3 linked regions of the Kluyveromyces lactis genome follow. The protein of the gene in region 1 interacts with the protein of each later gene in a biochemical or structural test. Links are inferred from orthologs where the notes say so. Each region holds a gene or a part of one and is shown in the gene's direction. Other genes may lie near its edges. The genes, in order: BRO1, RFU1 and VPS4.

What was found.
Region 2: the proteins of BRO1 (region 1) and RFU1 form a complex in vitro, tested with the Saccharomyces cerevisiae proteins (2 studies listed by BioGRID). The link is inferred for Kluyveromyces lactis from reciprocal best matches to the Saccharomyces cerevisiae genes BRO1 and RFU1.
Region 3: the proteins of BRO1 (region 1) and VPS4 form a complex in vitro, tested with the Saccharomyces cerevisiae proteins (3 studies listed by BioGRID). The link is inferred for Kluyveromyces lactis from reciprocal best matches to the Saccharomyces cerevisiae genes BRO1 and VPS4.

Annotation. Positions count from the first base shown.
Region 1 is NC_006041.1:2,120,355-2,124,537, reverse strand, and holds BRO1 (Bro1p), read left to right. Parts: upstream 1-1,339; coding exon 1,340-3,781; downstream 3,782-4,183. Other genes in the region: MBA1 (Mba1p), read right to left, coding at 127-939; tRNA splicing endonuclease subunit SEN54, read right to left, coding at 3,820-4,183. UniProt on the Saccharomyces cerevisiae protein: Class E VPS protein involved in concentration and sorting of cargo proteins of the multivesicular body (MVB) for incorporation into intralumenal vesicles. Fusion between endosomes and the vacuole will then target the cargo proteins to the vacuolar lumen.
Region 2 is NC_006040.1:484,074-486,653, reverse strand, and holds RFU1 (Rfu1p), read left to right. Parts: upstream 1-1,387; coding exon 1,388-1,957; downstream 1,958-2,580. Other genes in the region: ubiquitin-specific protease OTU1, read right to left, coding at 1-901; LAM6 (Lam6p), read right to left, coding at 2,201-2,580. UniProt on the Saccharomyces cerevisiae protein: Inhibitor of the DOA4 deubiquitinase involved in the regulation of protein degradation by the proteasome and maintenance of a normal level of free ubiquitin.
Region 3 is NC_006038.1:948,681-952,081, reverse strand, and holds VPS4 (AAA family ATPase VPS4), read left to right. Parts: upstream 1-1,451; coding exon 1,452-2,744; downstream 2,745-3,401. Other genes in the region: ASN1 (asparagine synthase (glutamine-hydrolyzing) 1), read left to right, coding at 1-971; KLLA0_B10824g (pyridoxal 5'-phosphate synthase), read right to left, coding at 2,902-3,401. UniProt on the Saccharomyces cerevisiae protein: Involved in the transport of biosynthetic membrane proteins from the prevacuolar/endosomal compartment to the vacuole. Required for multivesicular body (MVB) protein sorting.

The DNA of each region.
Region 1 (4,183 bases):
TGTACTTCGACGTCTATGAATTTACTGAAAATAAATAAATATAGTCATTAATGATCATCTTTTACATTGGTATTTACAAGGTAGTATCGTAAAGCGAGGCCTTTTAATTACTAAGATATACTTTTATCAGTCTTTTTTAACAGGTGGTTGAACTCTGAACAAGTCTCCGTTAACTTTCATTCTTTCGATTACAATTTGGTTCGAAGTTTCGCTATCTTTTGGCAATTTCGCGTCTGGTGCACTCTCAAAAACAGAACCAGTTAATAGAATATCATTTGTGCTTGCATCGCAAAGGAAAGCGATATAGTCAATAACATCTCTGTCCAGTTTATCAGTTTTACTTTTCTTCTTGTCGAACTTAATTAACCTTTGTTTGGTATCAAACTTATAAATCAATTGAATTAATTCAACTGGACGACCGGGAATCATCATGGCTTGTGTGGAAACTAACTTTGGAACTTCATTGAATTTAATCAATTCCCAGTCCAAGGTAATGTTCGATGGGATTTGTTTGGCTCTCGCTGTCAAAGCCTCGTCAACCCATATGGACACTTGAGGTTTGATGGTATCCAGTTCTCTTTTAGCAAAAGCTTCATTAACTTGAACATATGTTTCGATAGCTTTGTTCTTCCACAGTAAAAAATTTGGCTTGAGACCTGATTGATAACGGAATAAGGCTACTTGAATGGTGTTCATACCTAACGTATAGATCTTCCTGACCAAGACATTGAAATAAGCCACTGGGGACGTTATTGGATTAGGCATATTTTTCTTGGAAGGTGCGATATATACCTGGTTTGCAACCCCCATATGACGTGGATTGAATGGGGCAGGCTTTTTAACAACACCATCGGAATCTAGAAGCCTTCTAGAGGTGCTAAAGAAACGACCTCTCTTCCCTAAAAGTCCAACGGTTCTTATTCCTCTTAGTTGAAACATTTGTTTAATTCACAGGGGGGTGTTAATGGTAAAGAGAATGGGATGTCTCAGAGCACTCTGGATGATTCCAATGATCAACTACGAAGAATGGTTCAGATACTACTAAACGCTGTCATCTTTATGTCAACCTTCATTCCTTTAATCTGCTGCTGTTGTTAAAATCAGATGTGCATCGAAATTTTTCGAAAGCTTCGCCTAAAGATCGTTTTGCACGTTTTGATACTTTTGATGCTAACCTTCATTAATCGACCTAGCCATCTACAAACAAACTACTTAACCAAGAACGATAAAGCACTTGGGCAATCAAAGATAGAACCACTACACCAGAGTTAACATTTGTGCGTTGCAAGACAGTTTGCAAGTACCTACTCTTTATTTCTTTTAAATCGATCATTTCATAATGAAAACAGTTCTACTTCCACTTAAAATTAAGGATACAGAGAGTATTAGTTGGACAAAAGGGTTAATAACCTATTTGAAAAGGTCATACGGATCTAGCCAGTGGTCCGTGTTTTATGATGGCGACAAGACGGCAGAGATTGATTCGTGTAGGACCACTGCTAATTCAGATCTTGCGCCAGAATCATTATTAGATCAGAACTATAAGTACGCCGCTATATTGGAGCAAATCTATCTAAGGTTAGGCGCACACAGCGGTTCATTACAGATGGATTTCACGTGGTATGAAGCAGAATATCACTCTAGGTTGTCAGAAAAAAAATTCAAGCAACATACTGTAGTCTTTGAGAAATCATCTGTCATGTACAACATCGGTGTTCTATTGTCTCAAATCGCTAAGAAAAAAATGTCTGATAATTATAAGAGCGCGATTCCTTATTTGAGCAAGGCAATGGCTTGCTTCGATTATATGTCGAACAACTTTTTGAATTCACCTTCTATCGATTGTGCAGCAGAAAATACATCTTTTCTCTCCACATTGTTGCACGCCGAAGCTCAGGAAATGTTTCTCATGACGTTGATTAATGGACCAGATGCTTCGAAAAGAGCATCTTTGATCAGCAAACTAGCACATACTGCCTTAAATTTGTATGAGAAATGTCAAGAATTTTATGAGGATAGTTCAACAGCAACTTTTGGGACTACGCCTTATGGAGAAGACAAATGGAAGGATATAATTACCCTAAAGGTTCACTTGTATAGGGCTATTTCGACATACAATCACTTGAGAGTGCTAGAGGAAGCTAAGAAAATTGGAGAGGCGATAGCTTATGGTAAGCTTGCGGTACATGAAATAAAAGAGGCTGGTTTCTATAAGGTATATGTGAAGGATGAGATTGATCTAACAGGGTTAAAAGCAGTAATAGAAGAGAAGTTGAAAAGTTTAATTAAGGACAACGATTTCATTTATAACGATTTGATACCAGCTGATGTGAGCATAGAAAGCATCAAAACCATGGACGCCGTAAAGCCAGTGACCTGGGAAGAACAGCTCAAGGTATACCTAGAGCAGGTTGTAGATCTCTGTAATGGTGCCTTTAAAGGTATAGTGCCTATGGAAGTCTATGAAAATGAGAGTATCTATTCTGAGGAAAAAGCTTCATTGTTAAGAAAGGAGGTCGAGGAGACGGATACAGCAGACTGGGAATATCAATCATTCATTGAATTTACTGACTTACCGAAACTTATCAAAGACCTTGAATCAAGATATGTACACGGTGGAAATGGTTCATCAGATGACCCTCAATATGAAATAATGAAGCAAAAAATAACTACTTGGTCAAAAGTTGTGCAAGACAGTAATTTCAAAGATGTAAGAGCGCAAATGCAAAATATTCTTGACAAAAGAAATGAGATTCTTACAATTTTATCCTCTGTCTCTCCTGATCAAAGGGAAAATGCCTTGAAAATCAAGAACTCTTTAGTGCAGGCATCTCAATCTGATGACAAAATATTTGCATCTATCAATCCATGCTTGGAGGAAGTTAATTTGTTAGCAAACCATCAGTTATTGTGGAGCATAATGAGTAAATTTCAGATAAGGAATGATGAACCAAGCTTACTTGATCTCGATGACTCAAAAAACCAACAGATCTTAGATCGCCTTCATAATATCAAACACAATCAGGAGATTCTACGACTACTAAAAGAAGAACGTACAAGAAATTTAAAAGATTTCAAAGAAAGCTTGAACAATGATGATATAACTCAAAAGTTGATATTGCTGACAGGTAAGCCGAAAAAGGAAATGAGGGTTATCTTCGAGGAAGAGCTTACTAAATTCAAACCGTTGAGTACTAGGATTGAAGCAACAATATTCAAACAAAACAATTTGATTAACGACATAAAAATCAAGTTGGACGAAGTTTTCAAACTTATTGGAGTACAAGATAAGACCCCTGAACAAGAAAATACAGTGAAAGAAAGACAGACCTTTTTCGATAAGGTTGAAAAGGCTTTTAACCAATTCGTTATATTTAGTACCGATTTGCCGAAGGGTTTAAACTTTTACGACACTTTGCTCAAGATGACTAGAGAATTAAGCCACGCATCCACCCCTGGACAATCTGTAAACTTGATAGATTCCAACACATTGCCACCTAACTTACCACAAAAATCTACACAATCTACAACACTTACAAAGAGTTTCGCAAATTTAAACTTATGCAATGATGTTAATGACTCGGTAACTCAAAGTCCTGCAAATCTCGCTAACACTAATAACACCGGAGTGAATCCAGGTCCGCCTCAATTACCACCGAAACCTCTTTCTACCGGTATCAGTGGGCTTGTCAGCGATCAAAAGCTGCAGAATGGACCGACATCCTTTTATAACAATCCATCTGTCTTTGATGAAAATCTCTATTCCAAATTCAGTAAATAGTGTTTGTGGTTATATATATCTTGAATTTAATGCTAATGCTAATTTCTCTTCTTCTGGTTTGGTTTTTTCCACTGTACTATTTTAGGTGATGGAACATACCATATATTTTCAGATCCAAAATCCGTTTCTGTGATTTTGACTATACTCACCAAGCCGCCATCCATCACCGCTAAAAGGAAACTCCGATAACCTTCCTTAATTCTCTTCATTTTCCGAGCATATAAGCTCAAGGTTTTATCTCCTTTATTATTCTTACGTCTGCTTTTTAAATGCCTCTGAGCATCAACATTACCGGTCTTGTTTGATTTTGTCACTTTTTCTTCGGCTATATCAACATCATTAATAAAAGGGAATTTATGATCTAATCGTTGAAATATGCCCTTAAAATCTTTGAGGTTTGGA
Region 2 (2,580 bases), on another chromosome or scaffold:
CTCCAATCAAGGTGGTGCCACAAGTATTGCATAAAATTGAATCTCTTGCAGTATTGAAAGACTTCCCCTCTCTTTTCATCTTCTTCGCGATCTCCTGTGTTTTTTGTAAAAGGAATTCAGTATCTTTCTCTCCGATGTCAAATACAGTTTGATGCTGAGTTCCATCAAATATCTCTACCGTATCATAATGAACTCCGTTATATGCTATAATAATAAATTTATCGTATAAATCCTCGTTGAATTTCTCGAATTTACGTGCATCCACATCGAGCACGTATATCGCATACTGAAAATGTTTCGATAATATTGCAATCTCGATACCACCTCCCCATGAAGAATGTTTCATTATCCACTCACTGTATTCATGATTCGGCCTGCCAAGAATAGCATCTGAATATTCAAATGGGTCTCTCCGGACTTCTGACGCCACAACTCCCCGTAGTTCTGATGACAGTGAAATGTTCTTGTAGACAGCATAGGATATAGCATGGAATAGACACGAATTGTCATCGGGCACTTCATGGAGTTGTAGTGCTCTAGTTGAATCTATCTGTACACTTTCAGATTTACCAGTGGGCTTCTTTTTCACTTCTTTATTGGGTAGTGTATTTGCTTTACTGGCATTAATACTTGGTTGTGTTCTGGTGGCAATAGCTTCATCGGCTTTACTCAGGCTCACTATGATCCGTTCCCCATTGCATATTCCTAGCTCTTCAAGTGTCTTAGCCTCATTCCCCTGAAAAAGTATACTCTGAGGTGGGAATCCGTACCGCATACTCTGCAATGATAGATCATCTTCATATGAGGACAGAATGAGTCCCTGAAATGTTTCCAAATCACATTCGGCTTCGACAGTTAAAACTTTGTCGCTCTTCCCAGAAATAGATACCTTGACCCTCATCTGCGAATAGGAAATATATTAAGTCTCGTTTAGCGGTGGTTATTCGACAGATATATATGGAAATGCTATGGCTATCCTCTTGGGGATGGATAGATAGTCTGTTGTTCTATCCGATTTTCCCCTTATTGCTTAGGCACTTAGAGGATTCCAAAAACAGATCACATGCTCAAGTGAAATTAACCCGTACATCACAGCAAACATTTTTCTTTGCATGCAAGAACAGTAAACGTCAAAACCACAACGAGATGAGATGAGATGACAGGTTGAGTGCATGAAGAAATAATGGAACTTTTAGTTTATTGGCACCAGTGGTGGATCAGCTGCTGTTGGGCAAGCGTTGTGTCAGCTTGAGTTATAGATGCGATTTGGAAAATAGGAGAAGAACCCGTTAAACTGAATAATCTTTTTAAATCCCAGCTTTTTCCTTTTACTCGAAAGAATATACGGTACCCGAATTAATTAAACACTGCTACTCCATCTGATACAATGAAATCCAGTTCACACTTAAAGCAAGAAGCTCTTAATTATAGATTCAATTCAAATGTGCCTCTGAAATTGTATCTGACAACTTGCATTAGCATTGTCGAGGAAGCTCAAAATAGTGCCAGGTGCAATAATATGGAGCGCGCATATCTTCTTTATATTAGATACTTAGATCTTTGTCTGAATAGACTTGTGCATCATTCAGAAGTTAACACATCAGTGGAATCGTTATACAAAAGAGAATACTTCCAACTGCTGAAGTTGGAAGTCCCTGCTATCATGAAGATTACTGAGGAATTGAAAATCAAAATAGATGCAAGATACAAGTCATTGGCAAACAATGTTGCGACATCGACCTACGTGAGATCGCCGGCTGTCATGACGACAAATCCTTCGGATGAAATTAATCTTCCGAGTTCCTTTGATGAACAAAAATTCAACCAATCTATAAGTTGGTTTAATCACAGTTCAAAGCATTTTTCAGCACAGTCAGACTCTAACAATGAATATCCCGAATTACCAGAACTCAATGCGACATCCACGTCGGTCACATATACCATGCCAGCATTATAGATTTATCTTTACTAATTTAGCATCTCCTTGCATATAGTCACCTATACACTAATTTTACCTTGTTTTCCGCGTTTAACATTTACGCATTTCAGTTTCATCATCAGTCATTACAGATATTCATAAATGTTACAAATACTATGAGAAAAATGTTATTACCTTTGAACTAGATACCAGATACAGTGTTTCGGATGATGAAGACTAGAACCTCTCATTTCATGTTAGGGTCATATCTTTACTAAACTGTCATTCCTCGTTGGACATTGGAAGTTCGTTGTAAACATTGAGTATATCTTTAATCTCCTCAATCACGGAAGCACTATTCGTGTTCATCAACTTGTTGAGCTTTCTTAGTATCCTCACTTGACATAGTGTGTTGAACATCATAATCAATGTAATTATAAACAAAAGAGAAAGTATTATATTCTCTTTTGTTAATGCTGCGTGTACCTTGTTCTCTAAATTGCTAGGAGTTGAAGGTTGTTGGACAGCAAGCTTAGATGATTTTTTTGATATTTTGCTAACACGTCTACTTTGAGGCAGGCTTTTTCTTGGTTGGATGTTGACTTTCATTTCTGACTCCTCCACGTTATTCTTCACAAATTCTTCGACTATTGTGAGAAGTT
Region 3 (3,401 bases), on another chromosome or scaffold:
AAAAAACTAATGCCGAACTTGATCCAGTTGTTTATGACAGTGACCCACATCAATTGGCTGGGCTTGACGAACAAGGTCATCTACATGCTGCTGGCTGGTCTAGATTGCACTCATTCGCTGTTGGTTTGCCAAACGCTCCAGATTTACAAGCTGCTCGTAAGGTGGCTACATTCATCGGTTCTATCCATCACGAACATACTTTCACTTTACAGGAAGGTCTAGACGCTTTGGACGATGTTATCTACCACTTAGAAACTTACGATGTCACTACTATCCGTGCTTCCACCCCAATGTTCTTGCTTTCTCGTAAGATCAAGGCTCAAGGTGTTAAGATGGTTTTGTCCGGTGAAGGTTCCGATGAAATCTTTGGTGGTTATCTATACTTCGCACAAGCTCCATCAGCTGCTGAATTCCACGTCGAATCTGTCAAGAGAGTTAAGAACTTGCACTTGGCTGATTGTTTGCGTGCTAACAAATCTACCATGGCTTGGGGTCTAGAAGCTCGTGTTCCATTCTTGGACAGGGACTTCCTACAACTATGTATGAACATTGATCCAAACGACAAGATGATCAAACCAGCTGAAGGTAAGATCGAAAAATACATTCTAAGAAAGGCATTCGATACCACGGATGAACCAGATTTGAAACCATACTTACCAGAAGAAATCTTGTGGAGACAAAAGGAACAATTCTCCGACGGTGTCGGTTACTCTTGGATTGATGGTCTAAAGGATGCAGCTGAAAGCACTATCTCTGATGAACAATTCGCTCAACCAAAGGCTGAATGGGGTGACGATATTCCAACTACCAAGGAAGCCTACTGGTACAGATTGAAGTTCGATGCTTTGTTCCCACAAAAGACCGCTGCTTCCACTGTCATGAGATGGATTCCAAAGGCTGACTGGGGTTGTGCTGAAGATCCTTCCGGTAGATACGCCAAGATCCACGAACAACACGTTGATAAAAAATAAGATCACTCTACTAATGTCTCTGTTATAAAATCTTATAAATATGTACAGAATAATTAAATAGAATTAGTACTTCCTCGATACAAATATACTATTTTATTTAACGTTAATGGCAAAAAGATATTTAGTGTGAGACTCTTCTATTATATGACTGGGGCATCTCTCTCATAAGCAATCTAGGATCACGACTGCTAGTATCCGAAGAGTGCTGTAGATGAACATTTCATTAGACATTGTAATTAATCACGTGATTTGATAAAGCATAGTCAAATACATTTTCTTATGTTGATGTTCCCAAGTAATTGCAAAAAGCCTATTATAATAGAGATACGTACTGCCTTAAATGTGTGTCGACTGATACGTGACTCAGTTTACCCCTCTGTTCCTGCTCCATAGTGATTTCGAAATACCATAGCCATTCAAATTGTAGAACGGCTTCAAGATTACAATTTAGTGTTCACTACTCACAGCACTTACATTGATATGAGCACCGGTGATTTTTTAACAAAGGGAATTGATTTAATACAAAAAGCCATTGATTTAGACACAGCTACGCAATATGACGAGGCTTACACCGCATATTACAATGGATTAGACTATTTGATGCTAGCATTAAAGTATGAGAAGAACCCCAAATCTAAGGACTTAATTCGAGCAAAATTCACTGAGTATCTGAATCGTGCAGAACAATTAAAGGAGCATTTGGAAACAGAACAACAGAAGAAACAAGAAAAGCCAAAAAAGGCAGCCACTGCTTCTGGTTCAGGTGGCAATTCCAATACAGAGGACGATGCAGACGATAAAAAGCTAAGAGGAGCCTTATCAGGGGCGATCTTGACAGAAAAGCCTAACGTTAAATGGGAGGATATCGCTGGTTTAGAAGGTGCTAAAGAAGCATTGAAGGAAGCTGTGATTCTTCCAGTGAAATTCCCACATCTTTTTAAGGGTAAACGTAAGCCTACGACTGGAATCTTGTTATATGGTCCACCAGGTACTGGTAAATCCTATTTAGCGAAAGCTGTTGCCACAGAAGCCAACTCTACCTTTTTCAGCATAAGTTCCAGTGACTTGGTTTCGAAATGGATGGGTGAGTCAGAAAGATTGGTCAAACAACTATTTGCCATGGCAAGAGAGAACAAGCCGTCCATCATTTTTATCGATGAAGTCGATGCATTGACCGGGCAAAGAGGAGAGGGAGAGAGTGAAGCAAGCAGAAGAATAAAAACAGAACTTTTGGTTCAAATGAATGGTGTAGGTAATGATTCCAGTGGAGTCTTAGTTCTAGGAGCAACTAATATCCCATGGCAGTTGGATAGTGCTATTAGAAGAAGATTTGAGAGAAGAATATATATTCCCCTACCTGACCTTGCGAGCAGAACAAAAATGTTTGAGTTGAACGTTGGTGATACACCATGTAAATTAACAAAAGAAGATTACAGATCTCTAGGGGAGATGACAGATGGTTATTCAGGATCCGATATTGCCGTGGTTGTCAAGGACGCATTAATGGAACCTGTCAGAAAGATTCAAATGGCAACACATTTCAAGAATTCGTCGGATGATCCAGACGTACGGAAGCTAACACCATGTTCGCCAGGCGATCCAGAAGCCATTGAAATGTCATGGACAGATATTGATGCTGATGAACTTCAGGAGCCTGATTTAACTGTAAAAGATTTCCTAAAGGCTATACAAACGTCAAGACCAACAGTTAATGAAGAAGATATACACAAACAGGAAGAGTTCACCAAAGACTTTGGTCAAGAGGGAAATTAGTTCGAATTCCAGCAGCAATTAAAAGATAATAGTAATGATGTTTCAAAATGCTTTCATGGGCAATATAGATAAATAATCATATACATAGAACGTAACTGAGTCATAATCCTAGCTGATTTTAGCATTAGAACACGAAATAACCCTGATTAATAATCCTTCAGGTATAGTAGCTTGTTCTGTTTTCGCTATCAGATATCTTTGCATCCAATATCTTAACCTTGATGATCACGTTGTCATCACCTTTGATATAACAATTAGCATCTGGATTCACTCTTAGTAGTTGCTTTTCATAGTAGTCGGATTCTTCAGATGATGGATCAATAACTGTCGCTGTACCTGATAGCGTGGCTGACATTTGTGATAGTTCAGATTGATTCAACTCTTGCAAAAGGTTGAGCAACCTACTTGGTTGTTCTTCAGAATCATTAGAATCTGGCACTGGAGTATTGGATACACTTGTTTTCCTCAGAGATAGTTTTTTTGCTGTGACCCAGTCATGGATCAAAAGAGATACAGATGGGTTAGCAATAATATTCTTATACTTTTGAGTAGACTTTGATGTGGCAAAGATAACATAATGACTATTGGAGCCTTCTTCATGAAAGGCTTTATGAGGAAGCACATATGTGTAGTTCATCAATGAAACATTAGGAATGC